2 linked regions of the Macaca mulatta genome follow. The protein of the gene in region 1 purifies or fractionates together with the protein of each later gene. This does not show direct contact. Links are inferred from orthologs where the notes say so. Each region holds a gene or a part of one and is shown on either strand. Other genes may lie near its edges.

The links. The genes of interacting proteins can lie anywhere in the genome.
Region 2: the proteins of SF3A3 (region 1) and SNRPA fractionate together in Homo sapiens (co-fractionation; 4 studies listed by BioGRID and IntAct, with this or other methods). This does not show direct contact. The link is inferred for Macaca mulatta from reciprocal best matches to the Homo sapiens genes SF3A3 and SNRPA.

The regions. Positions count from the first base shown.
Region 1 is NC_133406.1:202,808,869-202,812,388, reverse strand, and holds part of SF3A3 (splicing factor 3A subunit 3), read right to left. Parts: intron 645-3,520; coding exon 572-644; intron 124-571; coding exon 32-123; intron 1-31. UniProt on the Homo sapiens protein: Component of the 17S U2 SnRNP complex of the spliceosome, a large ribonucleoprotein complex that removes introns from transcribed pre-mRNAs.
Region 2 is NC_133424.1:51,874,357-51,877,876, forward strand, and holds part of SNRPA (U1 small nuclear ribonucleoprotein A), read left to right. Parts: intron 1-974; exon of another isoform or gene 975-1,093; intron 1,094-1,150; exon of another isoform or gene 1,151-1,641; intron 1,642-1,899; exon of another isoform or gene 1,900-2,771; coding exon of another isoform or gene 2,772-2,841; coding exon 2,842-3,014; intron 3,015-3,520. UniProt on the Homo sapiens protein: Component of the spliceosomal U1 snRNP, which is essential for recognition of the pre-mRNA 5' splice-site and the subsequent assembly of the spliceosome. U1 snRNP is the first snRNP to interact with pre-mRNA.

The DNA of each region.
Region 1 (3,520 bases):
CAGAACCTCTCTGCCCGTTCCCAGGTCTTACCTCAGATGCCTTCAGGTTAATGTACTTCAGGTAACAGTCATGGAGATCGAGATAACGACCATATCCCTCTTCATCTGTGAACTCCACCAAGTCTGAGGGAATCAGATACATCAATGATTCAGTTTATACACACCACTCTCTTGGACTTACCTTTTCAAATGGACTGCTTGTTCCTAGTTTCCTGAGGCAGCACTTCACCCAAATGTCCTCCCTTTGCTCACAATATAACCTCCAATAAGTTAAGTGAGATCAAAAGTGAGTGTTCTCTTACAAGGTAACAAGGGCTGACTCATTTTAGTATCGTGACCTAAAGTGAACAATCCTTGGCTTTCCAAGCCAGTAAATTTGAGGTAGGAGAGAACAAAATGAACATTGTGCGCCCAAGACCAATTTAGGATGTCACTCTAGCCCAGAAACCAGCAAAGACGAAACCAGCAAGAAATCCTGGCTATAAATATATCTGAGGCCATGGCTGCAAATCTGAGCTGTAATTAACCTGTACTTTTGCTGGTGCTGAATGAAATTTTCACCTCTACTTACTTTGTGCCTCTTCACTCGGATTCTCTCGAGCCTTCAGGAGCTCCTCAAATTCCACTGACATTGGCACACAGATCTGAGGGGAAAAGTAAAAGCTCAGGTGGATTTTTCTTTTTTGTTTTTGAGACGGACTCTGCTCTGTTGCCCAGGCTGGAGTGCACTGGCACAATCTTGGCTCACTGCAACCTCTACTTCCCAGGTTCAAGCGATTCTCCTGCTTTGGCCACCCGAGTAGCTGGGACTACAGGCACGCACCACCATGCTTGGCTAATTCTTATATTTTTAGTGGAGACAGGGTTTTGCCATGTTGCCCAGGCTGGTCTTCAACTCCTAAGCTAAAGTGATCTGCCCAGCTTGGCCTCCCAAAGGGCTGGGATTACAGGCATGAACCACTGTGCCCGACCTTAGGTGGATTTTTCAATGTAAAAGTTGCAAGATCACAGAAATGAAATACACAGAAAGTTGGACTTCTGATGATTTGGCCTTGATTTTTCACTAGGAAGCTACTACTGTTCTCCAATTACCTTGTTTTTCCCCGCTTTTTTGTATTGTTTGAGTAAAACTCACTAAAGTAACACATGCTCACAAAACCTCAAAAGTCCACCTTTATTAATTCTCCTGAGAACAGGTAACCACTGTTAACAGAGCTTTTCCTATGCCAGTGGTTCCCAAACTTTGCTGCATATTAGAATCACCCGGGGAGTTTTTTTTTTTTAATTCTGATGCACCTGATACCAATTAAATCAAAGGAAGGCAGGTATCAGTACATTTTAAAGATCCCCAGGTGGCTCAAATATGCAGAAAGTTTGGAAAACAGTGCTCTATATATTTAAATATATGTATTTGTATTAGTACATTCATGCCTGCATACGTTTTTATTATTTTTTTTAGCATAAAAGACTTGCTTCTGACACTTAGTATATCTTGGGCATCCTTCTAACCAGTTATTTAAGCATTTATTCCTCGTTACCTTTTGACCATGGCTGGAATAAGGTGAACACATCAGAATGGTATTCATTTATTCTCTCTTGGTTAGCAGAAGACCTCACTCTCCATCCTCCAAGGGGGCTATGTGTGTGAGGATCCCTTCGTTTACCCCCACACTATGTACTGCAATAAACAGCCTCTATTTTTTTGCTGTTTTTAATCTCTTCCTTTTTCCCTGTGCTCCTTCAAATAAGTAAGCTGCTTCTTTTTTTTTTTTTTTTTTTTTTTTTGAGACGGAGTCTCGCTCTGTCCCCCAGGCTGGAGTGCAGTGGCCGGATCTCAGCTCACTGCAAGCTCCGCCTCCCGGGTTTACGCCATTCTCCTGCCTCAGCCTCCCGAGTAGCTGGGACTACAGGCACCCGCCACCTCGCCTGGCTAGTTTTTTGTATTTTTTAGTAGAGACGGGGTTTCACCGGGTTAGGCAGGATGGTCTCGATCTCCTGACCTCATGATCCGCCCGTCTCAGCCTCCCAAAGTGCTGGGATTACAGGCTTGAGCCACCGCGCCTGGCCATAAGTATGCTTCTTTATCTTCCCCAATACCCTCCTGTTTCTCCCCTTCTTTTTCCTACCAGATTTTTTTTTTTTTTGACGGAGTCTTGCTCTGTTGCCCAGGCTGGAGTGCAGCAGAGTGATCTCAGCTCACTGCAACCTCCATGTCCTGGGTTCAAGCGATTCTCCTGCCTCAGCCCCACAAGAAGCTGGGATCACAGGCGTGCACCACCAAGCCCAGCTAATTTTTGTGTTTTTAGTAGAGACGGGTTTCACCACGTTGGCCAGGCTGGTCTCAAACTCTTGACTTTGTGATCCACCTGCCTCAGCCTCCCAAAGTGCTGGAATTACAGGTGTGAGCCACTGAACCCGGCTGCTACCAGCCTTTCAAATGCATGTTCCATACTCCATACTTATATTTCCCCATTACCCATCTTTACCTTGTGACCAGATTTCCATTCCTACTACTTTAATGAAACAGCAATCCTGGCAGTTATCAATCAGTAAGTTGACACCATGACTGCCTTTCTGAAACTCTCTTTTGCTTAACTTCTGTAAGGCAACACCACCTGGAGTGGTCATGTGACCTTTCTGATGAAAGCCTTCCCAGGCCCTTTTTCTCTTAACTACCTTATTATAAGTGAGCTCCAGGGTATATGAGGGCTAGGCGCGGTGGCTCACGCCTGTAATCCCAGCACTTTGGGAGGCCGAGGTGGGTGGATTATGAGGTCAGCAGATCGAGACTATCCTGGCTAACATGGTGAAACCCTGTGTCTACTAAAAAATACACAATATTAGCCGGGCGTGGTGGCGGGCACCTGTAGTCCCAGCTACTCAGGAGGCTGAGGCAGGAGAATGGCGTGAACTCGGGAGGTAGAGTTTGCAGAGAGCCGAAATCGTGCCACTGCACTCCAGCCTGGGTGACAGAGTGATTCCATCTCAAAAAAAAAAAAAAAAGACAGAGTTAGGAGCATAATTTATTGGGGGGAGTAATTTCTTTTTTTTTAAATCTTTTTTTTTTTTTTTGGTTGAGACAGAGTCTCCCTGTGTCGCCCAGACTGGAGTGCAGTGTCCGGATCTCAGCTCACTGCAAGCTCCGCCTCCCGGGTTCACGCCATTCTCCTGCCTCAGCCTCCCGAGTAGCTGGGACTACAGGCGTCCGCCACCTCGCCCGGCTAGTTTTTGTATTTTTTAGTAGAGACGGGGTTTCACCGTGTTAGCCAGGATGGTCTCGATCTCCTGACCTTGTGATCCACCCGTCTCGGCCTCCCAAAGTGCTGGGATTACAGGCTTGAGCCACCGCGCCCGGCCTGGGGGGAGTAATTTCTGTGAAAGACAAAAAGGAGGAGAAAGCAGGATTAGGCCAGGATAGCCTAGACCACAATGCAGATTGGACAAAATCTTGACCCACCCAATGGGGAGCCGTGGAGCAAAGATAACTCATCAGAGGAGTCTCACAGTGGACCAAATTGCT
Region 2 (3,520 bases), on another chromosome or scaffold:
GAGGGCTGAGGTTGGGACCTTAGAAAGACAGGGATCCATTCAGCTTCCTGGCAAAGGAGACATTTTGGAGAGCCTGCCAAGTAGAGGAAGCAGTATTTATGTTACATTGAGGGAGAAGAGTGTTATTAACTTGGGCCAGCTTGTGTAGATGTTTAGGGGTAAAAGAGCCTGGCACATTCTGGGTATTACAAGTAGTTTTGTGGGCCTGAGGCCTAGAGGCCTGTAAATCATGGAGAAGCTTCCAGCGAGCTGTGCACTGGTGGCTCCTGGCTATGAGGCTCGTGGCTATGAGGTGTCAGACTTTGCCCTGAGGGTGTTGGGGAGCCAGCTTGCTTCCCTGTCCTGGTTGCCTCCTCATCTATCCTTCCAGCGGTGGAGGGTAAATGCGAATGGGCAAGAGGAGGCTGGAGAGTAGAGAGAGGCCCAGAGTCCAGTGGAATGAGTGAAGTCTGAATGAGATTCATGGGGATGGAGTATGGAGAAGAAAACCAGAAATGTTACCCCCAGGAGAATTTTTGACTAATTGCTTAAAAACAAGTTTGACTGCTGTCCCTGCCCCCACCCAGCCTGCACACATTTTCTTGCTTCTTTCCTAGTCTAGTATCTATTTTACCAAGTGGCTTCTGCTTCAGCTCAACATATTTTTTTTGAGACGGACGTTCGATCTGTTGCCCAGGCTGGAGTGCAGCGGCATAATCTCCGCTCACTGCAACTTTTGCCTCCCTGGTTCAAGCTATTCTCCTGCCTCAGCCTCCCAAGTAGCTGGGATTACAGGCGCACTCCACCACAACTAGCTAATTTTTTCTTTCTTTCTTTTTTTTTTTTGGCCTTTTTAGTCGAGATGGAGTTTCACCGTCTTGGCCAGGCTGGTCTTGAACTCCTGACCTCAAGTGATCTGCCTCAGCCTCCCAAAGTGCTGGAATTACAGGCATGAGCCACCATGCCACGCCAGTTTTTATGAAAGTTGGAGTCCAGTGGCGGGATCTGCCTCCCAGGCTAGAGTGATCCTCCCACTTCAGCCTCCCAAGTAGCTGTGACAATAAGGCACGCGTCACCATGCGTGGCTAATTTTTGTATCTTTTGTAGAGACAGGGTTTCACCATATTGCCCAGGCTGGTCTTGAACTCTTGAGCGCAAAGGATCTGCCCACCTCGGCCTCCCAAAGTGCCGGGATTACAGGTGTGAGCCACCATGCTTGGCCATCTCAGCCATCTACTTTGCATAAGACATTGGTACCCTTTGCAGACCTGAGTGGTGAGAGGGAGTCCATCCTTGTTGACCTTGAATCCCACTTGCTGTCAAGTGATGCCCTTTGCTGGTGAGATGTGGTGGTACCGGATTCAGATGGAATTCGTGGACTGGGCTCTGCCATGCCCTCGTGCCCTCCAGATTGTTGTACTGGTCCAGTGAGGAATCCTCTGAGAACCTGTTTCCATTTGAGTAAAACTGGGACAGTCATAGTTGCCACTTAATGGGGTTGCTGTGAGGAAGTTACCTCTATAAAGCATTTGATGGGGGTGCGATGGCTCATGCCTGTAGTCCCAGCACTTTGGGAAGCCAAGGCAGGAGGATCACTGGAGCCCAGGAGTTCAAGACCAACCTGGGCAACATAGGAGATTGTATCTACAAAAAAATAAAAAATTAGCCATGCGTCGTGTTGCGTGCCTGTAGTCCCAGCTCCTTGGGAGGTTGAGGTGAGAAGATTGCTTGAGCCTAGGAGGTCGAGCCTGCAGTAAGCTATTATGCCACTGAACTCCAGCCTGAGCAACAGAAGGAGACCCTGTCTAAAAAAAGCACTTGATGGTATCTGTAGTCAAATGTTTGTAGCCAAGTGTGGTGGCACACTCCTGTAATCCCAGCACTTTGGGAGGCCAAGGTGGGCTAATTCCTTAAGCTCAGGAGTTCAAGACCAGCCTGGGCAACATAGCAAGACCCTGTCTCTGCACAAAATCCAGAAGTTAGCTGGGCATGGTGGCATATACCTGTGGTCCCAGCTACTCAGGAGGCTGAGGTGGGAGGATCGCTTGAGTCCGGGAGTTTGAGGCTACAGTGAATCATGATCATGCCACTGCACTCCAGCATGGGTGACAAAGTGAGACCTTGTTGCCAAATAAAAAAAAAAATATATGTGTGATGGAGTCTGTGCTAGGCATGGAGATACTGCAGTAAACAAATGGGACAGGCTTATTGCTCCTCAGGTAAGATAGACAAGTTAACGTACCATGACAGGAGGCGGGAAATAGTCATGAAAGAAAAGGAAGTAGAGTAAGAATGACATGGGAAGACATTTAGACATGGTGGTCAGAGGTGGCAACGTTTCCTCTGAGACTTGGGTGACTAGGAGGTGGCCGCCATGTAAACCTCAGGGGAGGGATGTTCCAGGTAAAGGGAGCAGCCAGTGCAAAGGCCCTGGGGCAGAATTGTTGTGTCAGACCTAGGGGCCAGTGTGGTTGGGGACTCAGGAGCATAGTGGAATGTGGGCAGGAATGAGTTGGGGGAAATCTGCCAGGGCCACGTCATGCAGGCCTGTGTCAGGGTGCTGGTGGCAATGAAAAGAATCACTCATATTTACTGAGCGTTTACTATGTACCGGATGCTGTCCTGAGCACTTTGCATGTATGTGCACATGTTCATTATATAGCAGCTCTCTGTAAGCACATCTTACAGAAGAGTGTACTTGGCTACTTGAGTGGTTCCTGGCCGCTTCTGTGATTGTTAGGTCTTGAGAGATTATGGACCCGAGGCATTCTGGGTAGCCCGTCAATTGGCTGATGGTCTTCTATCTGGGCTGCGCTTCTTCTAACAAGGGGAGCTCAGAGGTCTTTTCTTTCCCCACTGCAGAGCTAAAAAAGTCCCTGTACGCCATCTTCTCCCAGTTTGGCCAGATCCTGGATATCCTGGTATCACGGAGCCTAAAGATGAGGGGCCAGGCCTTTGTCATCTTCAAGGAGGTCAGCAGCGCCACCAACGCCCTGCGCTCCATGCAGGGTTTCCCCTTCTATGACAAGCCCATGGTGAGCATTGTGGGTACGGAGGCTGTGTGGGTGTGTGAAATGTTATAGGAGACTGGGCGGGCCTGGATTAGAGGAGAGGATATTAGGGTTCATTCACCAAGGTGAGACTGGACCAGGCTCCCACTGCACCTTGCCTCCTTTAAAAATTTTTTTGGCGTAGTGCGGTGGCTCATGCCTGTAATCCCAGCACTTTCGGAGGCCGAGGCAGGCAGTTTACCTGAGCTCAGGAGTTTGCGACTAGCCTGGGCAACACTGTGAAACCCCGTCTACTAAAATACAAAAATTAGCTGGGCGTGGCAGCATGCGCCTGTAGTCCCAGCTACTCGGGAGGCTGAGGAAGGAGAATTGCTTGAACCTGGGAGGCAGAGGTTGCAGTGAGCCGAGATCCTGCCACTGCTCTCCAGCCTGGGTGACAGAGTGAGACTGTCTCAAAATACGTATATATATGTATATTTGGCTGGACATGGTGGCTCATGCCTGTAATCCCAGCACTTTGGGAGGCTGAG